Oreochromis niloticus: one gene and its partner. Each later gene encodes a partner of the first gene's protein in a complex. Links are inferred from orthologs where the notes say so. Each region holds a gene or a part of one and is shown in the gene's direction. Other genes may lie near its edges.

Evidence for each region. Proteins that work in one complex are often made in the same cells at the same time.
Region 2: fbxl13 (region 1) and drc8 share a complex: the UniProt entries of both Homo sapiens proteins name them as parts of the nexin-dynein regulatory complex. The link is inferred for Oreochromis niloticus from reciprocal best matches to the Homo sapiens genes FBXL13 and DRC8.

What each region holds. Positions count from the first base shown.
Region 1 is NC_031972.2:56,430,994-56,438,819, reverse strand, and holds the start of fbxl13 (dynein regulatory complex subunit 6), read left to right. Parts: upstream 1-4,633; 5' UTR 4,634-4,754; exon of another isoform or gene 4,755-4,868; intron 4,869-5,045; 5' UTR 5,046-5,103; coding exon 5,104-5,200; intron 5,201-5,741; coding exon 5,742-5,830; intron 5,831-7,486; coding exon 7,487-7,582; intron 7,583-7,688; coding exon 7,689-7,824; intron 7,825-7,826. Other genes in the region: uncharacterized protein LOC100695371, read right to left, coding at 2,415-4,318, 4,387-4,442, 4,515-4,531. UniProt on the Homo sapiens protein: Substrate-recognition component of the SCF (SKP1-CUL1-F-box protein)-type E3 ubiquitin ligase complex.
Region 2 is NC_031965.2:25,792,926-25,800,245, forward strand, and holds the start of drc8 (dynein regulatory complex protein 8), read left to right. Parts: upstream 1-4,059; 5' UTR 4,060-4,199; coding exon 4,200-4,224; intron 4,225-4,419; coding exon 4,420-4,510; intron 4,511-6,592; coding exon 6,593-6,665; intron 6,666-6,875; coding exon 6,876-6,952; intron 6,953-7,320. Other genes in the region: cgref1 (cell growth regulator with EF hand domain protein 1), read left to right, coding at 2,009-2,085, 2,236-2,324. UniProt on the Homo sapiens protein: Component of the nexin-dynein regulatory complex (N-DRC), a key regulator of ciliary/flagellar motility which maintains the alignment and integrity of the distal axoneme and regulates microtubule sliding in motile axonemes.

The sequences.
Region 1 (7,826 bases):
GGGCTTTAATGACAGCTTCATTTATGCCATGTTGAAGCAGTACAGTTAATCATTTCCAGTCTGTGCACTGGCACGTAGACCCCCGGTTTTTCTTGAAACGAACACACGGTGGCTCACTTTCTCTTGATTTTAGCCTTTACTCCTAACCCCTGAAGACATGTTAGGCCACCAGAAGAGGTCCAGAGAAGATCATGTTCATATTCCTCCGCCCCCTTTCACCCACACTTCATCGTGTTTCAAGCACATGCAAACAATGACTCATGCGTTGCTTGTTTACATTGCCCACTAATGTGCTTTTCAAGTGGCTTTAATTAGGTTTTCTTGATGCTTAAGTTACCATTTAAGTGACTTTCAAAAGCAAGACTTCAACTACAGCCTTAATGGGATCTGTTTTAGAAGCAGGTTCAACAAACTCCAAGTTGATTAATGCTGAGCTGCTAAACTCTGGGTTTGTGGTTCTAGAAAGTTCAATCAGCTGAATATGTTCAGCTCAAGTTAAGCCTGTGCATAAGCAGTAAAAAATAGCCATCATCAGCGGAGCTCCAGCACCAGATTCACCATGGCAACAGGCAAAGAGCAGAGTCTCCATTTATTCACTGGACTGAGGAATATGAATGCATCTTAATGTAGAGGGAGACTTATCTTTAAAACACAAAACAAAAAAGAAAAAGAGTCAGCATCATCCACTCATAAAGCAGGAATCTTACCACATTTAAGTTTTGTTATTTACTTGCAGCCTGATGTGAACCAAATACAGATGCAAGCAAATGAACAAATCTGGATTAAAAAAACCAAAAACAAAAAACCTGTAGTTCTCCTGTAAATCAGATTACCTTGATTGCTTTTGGAAAACAATATCAATTTACACATTTCAGAAATCAATTTTTCGTTTAAAAATGATGTCTGACTGTGAACATATTGCAGTATAAATTACAAACAGAATATAATCAGACCATCTACAGCCTGGATTTAAAAACTCATTTTAAATATTTAATCCTGTTTTAGAACCATAAAGTCAGTTCAGACTGATCTTCACACCAGTATTTACATCATCTCCAACATGAAGCCAACTGTAAAATAAATGCAACCTATAAGACAGTTACAGCTGCTTTTCTGTCCACAAAGTTAGATGGATATAGACTGTAGAATTTATTCTGGACTGCTAATATATCCAGCAAACTGTTTTTATCCTTACAATGATGATTTAAAATGAGGACTACCATCAAATGTGGCAATCAAGACAAGTCAAAATTGTAACACTTTCAGGTTCTTACTGAAATAGTCGATGTAGGTAGAAGAACAGGAAATGGATTTGCTGCTGAAGACCAATCCTATTAAATTAAATCTAAGTTTTTCAGTTTTTAGGTTTTAGAGAATGGCCATTAAGATTACGAATACTTCTATGTACATAGACCACTTGTCAGTAATGTTACCTGCAAATAAAATCCAGACATTGGAAAAGTAAAGCATTCATTGGACGAATTGGATTCAGTGGACCTAAAAGCTCGATTTCACGATCAGAGTCACCTGCACTACTTTAATGCATTTTACATCCAATGTCTTATATTCTGAAGCTGTACCGGCTCACGTGATCCTGGAGAAACTTTGCAATATCTAAGAGAAAGTCTGCAACAGTAGTTTTAGTATTAGTGGTCAATATGCTTATGAAATCAAGCCTTCAGGTAAATAAAAAGCTCCCTCATCTGTGGAGCCAGCTCTGAGTTTATATTCAAGAGACAGACACACCGACTACTGTTAAGATTAGGATTAAAACTTTCTTTTTTGATAAAGCATATAGTTAGGGCCTGATCAGGTGACTCTGAATCCTCCCTTAGTTGCACTGCAACAGGCCTAGGCTGCACTTCTTCATTCACTGTGTTTATACACCATTTTGCATTTAATTATTATTTATCTATCTCTGGCTGTCTCCCACAGCGTGTCTTTTGTCCCGTCTTCCCTCTCTCACCCGCAGTTGGAGCAGATGGCCACCCCTCCCTGAGACCGGTTCTGCTGGAGCTTTCTTCCTGTTTAAAGGGAGTTTTTCCCTTTCCACTGTCTCCAAATGCTCGCTCAAAATGTGGTCGTCTGATTGTTGGGGTTTTCTCTGTATTATTGCAGGGTCTTAATGTTACAGTGTAAAGCACCTCAAGGCAGATGTTGTTGTGTGGCCATCTAAATAAAATTAAATTGAATTTTTTTTAAATCATTAGTAAGTTGAATAAGGTTGGTCCAGTTTCAGTGCTCAGTTTTAGTATTTACTCAGTAGTGCGATGCTCTGTTGTCTATTTAAAGGACAGATTTCCAGGACAGAAGATGTGTTCACAGACAAAAATACTACAACATTTTGGTTTTCATACCTTCAAAAACATGTTCATCATTCTTCCCGGTCCTGCACACTGAGTTGTCATGTCCTTTCATTCACGCCATCTTCTTACCAGTCTCCACTGATTGTTATTATTCTTCCCTTGCACCATACGGGGTGTGAAACAGACCTTTGACAGATATGCTACGGCCCGTGTGAAGCGGTTTTTAGATTTAACGTATGGATTTAGAGATGATGGAGATGTATTACGGGACTCTTGAGGAGGAAGGCTTTTTGTGTTCCTCTTAATAACACACTTAGGCATCAAACCTGTAGGTTTAGGCTGCTGTTCAGAACGCCAGTTGGCCAAGTGTCTGGGCCGTCTACTCACACTGGCTCGAGGCATGTGCCTGTTTGGTTGCATGAAAGGCTGTAAACGTTCAGACCTCACAGTTTGCCTCTGTGGTTTAGAAAATGAGCCCAGTGGGTTTCTTACTCCATAAGATGCGAGCCCACTCTGGGGTGGATTTCTCAATCTATTGTAATGCGGTTTCTGAAAGGTAGATAGGAGTTTTTGATTGTAGAGGTTTGAATTCTCATGTTTTGCATGGGCATTTAGGACGAAGGGAACAGCACTGACTTTGTGGTATCCGGGAACAAAACTCAAGGGTTTGGCGGTAAACATCCAGTGAGCTCTGTCCATCTGTTTTTGCTTATAATGAGGAATTTGCGGGTATTGTGGGCTGCTTTGATAACCCATGTGACCTCTTCTCCACTGGGGTAAGGGGTCATTAAAGCTTAAAGAGACAGAACCACTTGATGGAGGCCAGTGGACGTTGGGAGCATATTTTACAGTCCTCAACTCTTTGCTCTCAGTAGGTTGACGTGCCTGGACTGAAGCACCTATTCTTGTCTTGTATTTGGGCCAATAATGCTGCATGGAGGGGTGATGCTTTTTACCATAGGAATATACAGATGGTAGGATTTTTGCAGATGGGACATTAGTTTGACTTGCTCTGTGGAAGTCTTTAGTGAGTTCAAAGCCACTGGGTGGTCTCCAGTACCTCATTAAAGGATCTCTACTTTGAGAGACATGTACTGGATTTAGCATATCCTTCCAATAAGGTGTTAAATTTGAGGTCTCACTTGAATACTGGCTGAAATCTTGAGATGGGCTGTTTGCAGGGTTCACAGGGGGTGCAGTCACATGTTTACTATAGGAAGAACCCTGCCTGTGAAAGGAGCTGGAGGGAAATTGTGTTTTTTTTGGTGGTTTGTATTGTTCTGAATCCACACTCACAGATAAGTCATTGTTTCCCCAGGGAAAACCGTGTGCCAAATTTCTTGAAGCAAGACCTGTGGCTGCTAAATGATCGTGTGGGTAGAAAGTGGTGCCCGGCCTAAATTTTTGGTTGTCATAAACACTGGAAGAAATGAGACTTGCAGAGGAGTCGACAGGATCAGGGAAAGAGAGGAGTTTATTTGGCGTTTGGTAGTTGGCATCTTCTTCAATCCGATCATTATTTTTCTTGCTGTCACCAGAGGCAGTGCCTCCTTTTTCAGGAGTTGGTCTATAGTCCATGGATGTTCCGAGAGTTTTCATTTTTTCCCGTGCAGTTTCAAAATGTCTACTCAAGTCACTTCCTGGTACTAAGAAGGAATGCTTCATGTTTTCTATAAACTCCTTTAAATGACTCATTGTGGGGAAAGCGACACCCTTCACAGGCTCCTGCATGTTTCCCCTCACTAAAAGGTCAAAGGGATGGTGATAACCAGACTGCTCATTTTGCTCTATAAGAGGAGCAGAAGAGGCCCCGTGAAACTTATCAGGCTGGCTTTGCTTCATCTCAGCGGTAGCATCCTGTCCTTTATCATAAGTAAATGCTTCTGGCTGACGGGAAACAAAGCTTTGCCGTCCAACATTCTCATTGTTTGTATTCAAAGACTGTCCAGAATGAAATCTGCTAGAGGTTTGCGGGCTCTCATAGAGATAGTAGCCATGTGCACTACTGTAACCTATCAGGAAAGAAACATCACATTAAACTTGTGGTCGGTTATGCAAATAAAAGTACTGAAATTCTTACCTTCTTCAGGAGGAAAGCACAAGCAGCTCCACAACAGAGTGCAAAGCCAGGAGAGCCTGAAAAGAAAAAAAGAGACTAAAATACTAAAAATATAAAAGAACTGAGAATAAAATGACATTTTTATTTACCTGAATGAACGAGCCATGAGGTTGAGCTCAACCACAGACTCTACCTGCAGCAGAATAATGATTAAAGCTACAAACCAGCAAAATAATCACTCATGCTCTGAGTGAAGCCACAGTGGCAGGAAAGATGTCAGAGGGGACACAAAACTTTCTCACATTCTGCTTCCACTGATTGCAATCGAAGTTATTGAAAGCAGCTGCTGCTGAGTTAGTTCTTGTAGGTCCTCAAACTGGTGGTGCACGGTGAATTTGATCTGGTTGTATTTTTACTGCGAAACAGTAACTCAGCTTCAGAGAACCTAAAGACTTTCTCTTACTGTTAATAAGTAATGTTATCAGGGTGTTCTGTTTCACTCGGTCAGTCTTTGTCAGTCCAGCTTTAGCTTTATAATCATAATAAACTGTTTTATAAATTAGATAAATTATTATTTTTTTGTTACTTGATTCCCATCCTTTGTTAGTTAAGCCTGGCTCCTGACAGCCTGCCTCCCTGTTTGCTGAATTAATGATGAGCTGTTTCTTGTTGGGTGACAGGAAGTGGAAGAGGTTCATTGCACAGAGCAAGAGAGATACCCTGGAGTTGACTCTGCAGATGGACTTGACAAAAAAGCATTTTGAGAGGAAATGCTGGCAGGTTGCACTTACCAAACTGCTGAGCTGGGTCAAATTACACAAGAGGATGAAAGCTGGTAGGTCAACATTTTAGGGTTTTTTTTTCCTGAAGAATTTATACTGAGGTCTGTTGGCTGTTTTTTTTTCTCGCTCCCTCCTGTACAAAGCCAGAGAAAACACTCACTGAGGTTAAGAAATTTGCCAGACTAAAAGTCATGCTCCCACGTTGTATCCTCCCACTGCCATGACTCATTTTGTCCCTGTGCACCTTTTTACTTATATTCTTAACTCAGTTGTCATAAACCAAAATTATCTTTGGATTTATGATTGATTGGATTGGTTGGTTGGAGTCAATACTTTTGTGCAGAAATGTATATTTTCCTAAGTTAAAATGAATGAACACTCCAGCTCTCACTGAGAAACTGGAGGCCCCTTTAAAAGCTAGATGCCTCAGCCTTAAGTGTATCACTGCTCCATGGTGTAAAGATAGGACTTGAAAGGGACAGGAGACTACTTCAAAACTGAATTAACACTTTTTATCTTTTGTGTGTGTGTGTGTGTGTGTGTGTGTGTGTGTGTGTGTGTGTGTGTGTGTGAATTTTCCCCTGATGTTACAAGTGGGATTTACTGAAATGGACAACAAGCATCAGCAGAGTGAAAAAGGATGTGATGCACTCTCTGTGCTCCCAAACAGCCTCTTACTGAAGGTAGATTCTCTTACAGCGAGCAGCATTCTTGTCTCAGTTTTCTTTGTATTTAGCCTGGAGTTTGTACACAGAAAGATGATGGCTAGTCTGTTTTTGGTTTTTTGGTTTTTTTAGGCTGCAACAGCCCCTTGTTCTCTGAGCAGTCAGCGATGAGCTCAGATATCAGTTACATAACTCTTTAAATAGACTCCACTGTAAACATACAGTCCACTCTCTTTGAGGGTATTTGGTTAAAGTCACTTGCAGATCATTTTCCTTTAATCTAAATACATACCAGAGTGTGCGTGTGTATATACACTTACAGGCCACTTCATTAGGTACACATGTTCAACTATCTGTTAATGCAAATATCTCGCATGGCAGCAACTCAGTGCATTTAGACATGTAGACGTGGTCAGGGCTAAAATTCAAACCGAGCATCAGACTGGGGAAGAAAGGCCATTTAAATGACTGGTATGTTTATGGTGCCACACAGGATAGTCTGAGCATTTCATGAACTGCTCATGCACTGCAATTTTCCCACGCAATCATCTCTAAGGTTTACAGCAAAAGGTCCAAAGAAGAGAAAATATCCAGTGTGTGGCAGTTCTCTGTGGGGGAAAAGAAAATGTTTTGTTCATGCCAGAGGTCAGAGGAAACTGGCCAGACTGTTTTGAGCTGATAGGAAGGCAGGAGTATCTCAAACAACCACTCATCAAAACCAAGTTAAGCAGAAAAGCATCTCTGAATGCACAACACATGGATCCTTGCAGCAGATGATCAGGTGCCACATCTGTAAGCTGGCAATAGGGATCAGAGGCTACAATTTGCACAGCCATTGGCTGCTCTGAGTCTCAATTTATTCTGCAACACTGACTGCTCGGGCTGCTGCTGCTTGGTACACTCTCTGTACTAAATCAGCACAGTTTAAACGCCACAGCCTACCTGGGTATTGTTGCTCACTGTCCCTGTATGACCACAGTGTACCCATCTTTTGATAGCTGCTTCCAATAGGACAACACACAAAGTTCACATCATCATGTTCATGAAACCAGTTTGAGATGAGTCCACTGTGCAGCATCTTTTGGGATGTAACGAAATGAGACATTTCCACCATTAAGGATATCTTGTAGGCAAAAAGGGGTATAAGCAAGGTGTACCTAATAAACTGACCTGTGAGTCCATGTATGCATATATATATATAATATAGCCACTCGCCAACACTGACTCCACTCACCAGTTGAAGCATCTGTTTGTGTGGAATTTGCTTCTGTCCTCGGTCGATGAACAGTGTTTCAGCATGACTATGTTTGGCTTTGGGTGCTTGTTCACATCTGCAGCCACAAATATGGGCAGAGGTGCCAGCAGACCCTGTCAGAGGGCCAATAACATCAAACAAAAAGCGAGGAAGTTGTATTTATACAAAAAATGGTGTCTAAATCCTATGTCCACATTTGTGTATTATCAAAAATATTGTTTTTATTTTAAATATGCTTCAATGTTTGGTTAAAGTTTAGAAACCTAACTGTAATATTTCATCACCTCATGGCAACAACATGATAAACCAGAGTTTTACTGTAACTCCCTTTAAGTATTCAGAGAAAAGTCAAGTGTCATTTGTCTGCTGTTTTTCCATGTGATAAAAAAAAAAAGATGATTTGTGATTTTAATCCTCAGATCTTTCAGTACTTAGAATTACAAGAACTGCTAAACTGTGCTGAAGTATGCTGCACATGGAAATCTATCATCCAGTCTGGCGTGTTGTGGAGTCAGGTCTGCATTTAGAGATTACTTCTTGTGATTAATTTATGATGCTGTTAAAATGGTTTTACTTTAAATAGCAAGAGTCTGAATGTCCCCTAATTGTTGCTCGTACTAGATCAACCTATCTGTGGCCAAAGACTGGATAACAGATGGCACAGTGAAGAAAATTCTGCAGAGTTACCGCTTATTTGTGACCCATCTTAACCTGCGTGGCTGCACCTCCCTGCAGTGGCCCAGCCTGAGATTTGTCAGT
Region 2 (7,320 bases), on another chromosome or scaffold:
AAATGATAAGATTACATGTACCTAAGAGCTCATTTATGCTGCATTAATTTCCTTTATGGGGTTCTCCTCACCACACTGCAAATATTATCTCAGCACACATAGCTGCTACTGTGCTGAAATAGTTTGAACTTGCCTGTAATAAACTGTTCAGAGAACAAAAGAAGAAATATCTAACCACACGACAGATGCAGTTTCTTTCCATTTGTTGGTAAGATTAAATAATGTGTACACGCTATCATACTTTCATCTTAAGGTTATTGCATGTAAGACCAGATAAATGTTAGCTGTATGGAATAGCAGTTGGAATTTACACCACCCTTAGTAAATAATACATGTTGGTTCAAAGCAGGCCTTTGTGCAGCCTGAATCAACATTTGTAAAAAGATTATTCAAGCATTTAGAGTGTCTCACTGTTGCAACATTGCTTCATTTATGGCATGTGATGGAGTGCATGAAGTTTAAGATGTTAAAACAAATGATGCCCTGAGAGCAGTCTCGGTTCTTACCACCAGATCTTGCCTTAATACCTTTTTAAGTCTCATGTAAAGCTCATGACTCATAGCTGATCCAAAATTCAGGCCAAAGGTGTTTCCTTTAGAGCACAACTGAGTTGCCTTCAACACAGCTGCTTCAATCAAAATCTGTCACAGATCATCATTGTTACCATCTACTTCATGTAAGATTATGAAAGGTAGAACCGCCTGCTACGACGTGTTATGTGTTAAGAATGTTAAGAAGTTTCTATTATTATATTAAGGGTGTGTAACCAGTTTAATACCTGTTCACTAGATGTCAAGAGTCTATTCACAAATATAGGAAATCATTTATAAGTACACATCTGCCATCTGCTTCACTTAAGATTACATATACAAGTACATAGCACATGTACCTAAAATATGAGTTTAAGGCATGTGCCAATGAACATTTCTCACTTCACAGCCTTGATTTAAAAAACAGTGCTATTGGACTTCTATGGACGAATTTGTCATATTATTTCCAGCAAGGTGAACATATTTATATTTATATCTATCTATATATATCTATATATCTATATCTATATGTATGTATATATATACATATATGTGTGTGTGTGTGTGTGTGTGTGTGTGTGTGTGTGTGTGTGTGTGTGTGTGAATAATAACATTGCTGAGCAACACGGTGGCGCAGTGGCTAACATCTGTTGTTTCACAGCAAGAAAATCATATGTTTGGCCCCAAATTCCTTCCACAGTCCAGCAACATGAATTTGAGGTTAATTAGTTTATTGTTATTGATTGAAAAAAAATCACATTGCAGAATTTTTCATCAGTCATTAACAATAAAAAAGAACAGGAGCTGAATTGGAGTTAAATAAAAGTGCGCACAGTGATGTCAGGAAACTCATTGTTTAATTTCCTTAAAAATTATATTCAGTCAGCTCACTTTCACTTCTTGTTTTTCCGCTCCCCACCTTTTAATGACTTTACACTCTGTCAGTGAGTCCTGTAACTGTGCAAGTTTATGGTTATCTGTCTGTTTGTATCCAGGGTGTACCCTGTATCTCGCCCTGTGTCAGCTGCGATCAGCTGCGATCAGCTGCCATCTAAAGCGGTTAATAAAATTGGTTATTTTTATTGCTACATTCTAGATTTTTTAATGAATGAAGAGGTATTGATTTCTCTTCTAACCTCTTCTCACAACATGAGACACAAGTTATTTTGTACATCACTGAACATGATTGAAGGGGATCTTTAACTTCTTTTAAACATGTTATAAATGATTTAAAGAGCTGAAACAGGCTCTGTGAGCAGAAGTCTGTGTGCATCTGAACTGAAATAGTGAAGTCCAAGTTTTTGGAGACGGGAGCGTGGGGTTTAGGAGCTTGAAGAGTCTGGCACAGGGTGCTTGAGTGTTATACCCTCTACCAGATGGCACAAGGGTGGAAAGAGTCTGTAGCACATGGCAGTTGCACTACCAATCTGCTTTCTAACATTTTTTCTAAACTGTGCTTTTTGTTGTGTGTACCACAGTTTGAGACAGAGTTACATTCAATCAAGCCTGAAGAATGGAGGTCAAGGAGGACCAGAAATCACCACCTGGGAACAAGGTAAACAATGCCTCTTACCAGTAGATATTACACTGATGGGTTCTGACTGGGATCACCATTGCCAAATAATGTAGACTTTATTAGTCAGAATCTAATAAAGTCTTTTTTATTTGATTGTATAATTGTGAATTGTGCTGTGCTATGTTCCAGAGGTATTCTTCCTGTTTGGCCTTTATGATTATGATCGCAGTGGGTTCTTAGATGGCTTGGAGATGATGAAGCTCCTCTCAGATTTTTAACTCCCATCATATACCTGGAGCAGAGGCCAGTGAGCAGGTTAGCAGGAGCGACTGTATGTGTGTGTATTTGAACTGACAAGGTGTTGGCCTTTTTCCTTCACTCTGTGATATTTGTGTATGTTTGCATGTTGCTTTCAGGTGGTTTCTATGGTAGATTTCTTACTACAGACTCAGGATCTAAACCAGGATGGTCTGCTGGCTCTATCTGAGCTGCTCTCCCCTTCACTCACTCACACACAGGTACTGCAAATGTATTGGAAGTACTGTTAATACTGTTCAAGCTTGATGTAGTTTTATTCACACCTTTATTATATTTGGCTGCAAAAACAACACCTCATCATAACTTTCTACCTTAAAGGACCCAAGCAACAACAATGCACCTCAGCAGGAGCAGGAAGCAGTAGTGGAGGAACAGCTATCAAACGCTATTGCTAACGTGGACAGCGTCGGTGCAGTGGAGCAGAGAGAGGAACAGATTCGTGAAGAGATTCAGCTTCAAGAGGATGTACAAGGAAAGGAAGTTGAACCCATAAGGCAAATGGATGAATATGAGAGACATCAAATCCCAGAAGTCACAATAGAAGATCTGGGGCAGGACCACAATATCCCTGTACATCAGGGCCAACCAGAGATATAAAACACACACACATAAACACACTAGAGAAAACACCACTCTGTCATCTAGGCCTCAGTCTCTTATGTACTGTATGGGATAGCTTCTTAATCAGCATCCCCAAAAATGGTCCTCTTCTGGATCTGAGTTCTGAGTTTCTGCTAATGCACAATTCACTGGACTGTTAAACATGTAGATGGGTGGTCAAAAGGTCTTTCTGGTCAAAATATTTCTGCCACTGTATTGGGATGCTCAATGATTCCCAGAGCTTTTAATGGGTTAAAGGCAGAATGTAATATTAGTTGCAACAATAAAACAGAAGCCATGATTAAAAGAGACCTTTTAATTTTTTTTTTTTAAGTTGGAAAATGTGTTATTACTTTAATTGAATTTATTTACCATTTATTTACCATTTTCTGCCATGATTATTTAATGTATTTGTTTGCTTTATACCACCAGTTTATGAGCTACTGCATCATTTGACTGGATGTTACTTGGATGTGTCCTCCTCCCCAAATGTCAGTAGACACTGTGGATTCATGTACATGTGGATGGTGGACTTTCTGCACTTTTAGCTGTTTTTTATAATGTTTCAGATTCACAGTTGGTTCAGCTGAAATGAAAATTCGCTCTCCTTAATATTATGTCAGCAAGTAAAATGAGTACATATTGAATTCACTAGACAAGGAGTATGAAAGAAAATAATCTTTATGGTGGCCCCATTGAAATAAAATGAAAAGTAATGTAAAATGCTATCATTATCTACATACTTGAAATGTTTTTAGTGTGAAAGAGTGTACTATTTGTTAATTTTTTAAATTTTTTTTGCTAATTTTTTAAACCATTTTATGCATTTATAAGGCGGAAGAAAATAAATAAGAAACAAGTATTTCTCTGCTCTCTTTGTTTGTTTTCAGTCTGTCTTGTGTTTAAATGTGATACTTATAGATTATTTCATAGAAAATTAACAAAATCCTTGGGAAAAAACCTTTATAGTATGAAAACACATTTTCGTGGCTTCATTATATCAGGAACTTCTGAGGGGTCACGTTGTTGGAAGGCTTTTTTTTTAATCGAATGACTTCTTCAGCAAGACGGTGAGCTTTAAATAAAAAATAAATTAATTAATAATGTGTTATTAGTAGCTCTATGTAATTCGACAATAAAGGTTTTCTGGCGATTAAAAGATGGCAAACGTCAGAGGCGTTTAATTGGTCTCCTACCATACTGTTGCTGGGCAACAGAAAAGCGACCGGACAAACATGGCGGAGAACAGCAAAAGTGCAGGTTGGTAATAGTTACTTTCATTTTCAGTTTGTCTACAAATTGAACATCTTGAGACCACAGTGAAAGTTTCAGTCTAAAACTCTGTGCCGACCCGTCATAGTGGCTGATCTTTGATGAAAGTATTGTCATTATTTCCTCCAGAACTAAGCCAGCTAAGCTAATGCTTCACTATGTGTTCTTTATTTTGTCTGTCAGAGGCCACCGTGCTTAATACCAAGATCCTCAAGAAGCTCAAAGGCGCTTTTCAAGCCTTTGACACCAAGTCTGATAACACAGTGGATATCAAGTGGGTAAAACAAGACAAGCCATTTACTTTTATTACCGGAAAGATACTTAATAGGTACTATGAAGCTGATTACTATGAAGATCCAAAGGACCTTAAACGTTTTAACAAGTACACAAGATGCAGTCTTGTGAGAAAATCTTGAGCCAGCCCTCATTTCTTTGCATTTTGTTACCAAGGAGCCAGATTTTATTGTAATTTTTAGCAATAGCTCTTTCATTTTTGTTCCAGTGTTGCACCTTTTTTTTTTTTGCGACCCCACTTAACACTTACCTGTGAATCACTTTAGCATAAACAAGACACCTACCTCTGGGGACCAGAACCAGTGTTGTGTCAACACCAAAGAACTCAGCAATCTCAAAACAATTCAGCAAAGAACCTGTTTTAACGGTTACTGGTCACCTTCTATTAGCAGACTGTTGCAAAAACACATAATTTTTTCCCCATTTCTTTAGTTGAATCAGCAAAAAATTCCAAAGATAATACATTTGAAAGGCATAAAATAGTATTTTTGCACCAACAAGGTGATTCCCAAAGATTAATGAAGGGAAACAGAAAGAAAAGGATGAGGTATGCCAAATTACACAAAAACTGTTTTCACATAACCTTGCCATGAAAATACAGGGATCTTAGTTTTATTTTGAAAACAGAAGTGCCATGGAGGTTTTTGATGTTTTTGCAAGGACTGGGCCAAATATCGGTGGCAATCATAAGCAAAGTACAGCTGCATTTCAGTCAGTGGTGTTGGTGAATTTATTCAAAATTCCTGAAATTATGAATAAAGAAAAGTACTGACAGATTTTGATTCACCGTGGAATACCATCTGATTGGTAAGAGCTCCCATTTTTCATCAACGAGTCTGACCCCAAACACAGCCGATGCAGTAACAGCATACCTGGATACAAAAACACAAAATGAAACACTGTCTGCCTGGAGAACTATTCCTGAAGACTACAAAATTACAAGAACACTGACTTTCAAGAGAGTTAGAATTACACAGTGTCTGTATTTCCACTTATGAATGTACATGTTTCAATAAATGGCTGTAAGAAATATTCTTAAAATCTCACCAGAGCTTTGTGCAACCTGAGGAACTCTAATCAGCCACACAGATGAAAACATCTGGCAAACAAATGTGCATGTCCTTTCCCTTCAGCGACAGTGCAGCATGTTTTCTAAGCCAAGTGTGTGCTTTCTATGTAAAATTAAACTAAATGGTAGAGTAGAATATTTTTTAATTAGCATTATTAGAGGTCACAGCAGCTTTAATTCCTAGATATTTTTTTTACTAACTTATGCAGATGCAGAAAGGTCGAAACACAGCTGTTTATTTAAATCTGCTCTCAGTAGGTTTCCTGTCTGTAAGTTTTTGAATTTCTCACTGGAGGTTTTAAATAGAGTGGAAACTGCACACAAAGTGTCCTCCCTGCTAAGGTAACCAGACTGTATATCTTTTATACAGTCTGACAAACTAAACATGGGCTTGGACAGTTTAGGACATTTTGCTAACCTAAAATTGTTGGTCTGTCCAGGGAAAAACTAATTATTTAGGTTAGAGATTTGGCATTTAGTTTGACAAAAACAAATATAAAGTATTTGCGTTTCTAACTTCATTTCTACATAAATAACATGAGCCTGAAAGTCAAGTGGCCCAATCTCTGAGAGCTGACTACTCCTGGCTTCAGCCACACTTCCTTTTCTTTGTTTTATTTCCATCACATTTGCTGAGATCTACATAACCTGTGAGTTTCCCTGTTAGATATAGCATAGGTGTCCATCCTGCAGTGTGGACTTCTGAATATTAGAGGCAATAAAAATGTGGGACTCAAGTCTCAAGACATACAAAATGCTGTGTAGTTCAGATTACGCAGCTGTTTCCACTGGTAAATAGTTTGGTTGAAGTGGGTTATTTGGACGCTGGCTGTGAGAAATAAAGTTTGTGGTTTGTCTCAAGGCTTTCCACTGGCTGAGTGGGCTTTAGTAGGACATTGCGGTGAGATGGTTCATAGCACACAGGAATTAGTGAAACTAACTGAAACTGTCCTTTTAAATACTTTTAATGCACTTCTTGTTGTTGTTCTCTAGGGAGATTGGCACCATCTTCTATTCACTGGGTTTCTTTCCCACTCAGGCAGACCTACAGAAGTTCACATCTGAGGTCAGTATAGCATCCTCCCGTAGTCTGGTTCTATTTTGGAAGATCAGTAATGGGATGTGCAAACAGGGTTCTGACATTGTGCATTTCAGTAATGTTACAGAATCTCCTGTGCCATTATGTGACTGTTATAAAATCCTGGGTAACATTAGAAGCATTATTTTTGTTAGAAAATTCAAAGCAACCCCCAACAGCCTGTTCCTGTGCAACCAGGTGGAAGATGAGCGCTCAGGATATATCCACTGGGACAGATTCCTCCCAGCCATGACTAAAGTGCTACTGGAGGACAAGTAAGACAGTTCAGTTATATCATTGTATAAAGAAATTTCTGATTTCTGTGGATGAGAAGAAGGCTGAGATGCAAATAGGAGTTTGTTAAACCAAATTATCTATTATACAATGTATTTTTCTCTTATACTGAAGGCACACATGAATGCATATCATTACTATGAGTCTTGTGATCAGTCTGGTAAAGATTGTGCAAACCTCAGTACTCTATTTTTGATCACTGGTGTTTCAGGTCAGGTTTGTTCACCACTCAGGAAATACTACATGTCAGCCTTGTTTAAATAATTTATATCTCTTCCTTTTACACGTGAGCTTTTCTGTGCCTGAAGCTGCTGAAGTTTAGATTCAGACTTAAACTCTTAAACAAACA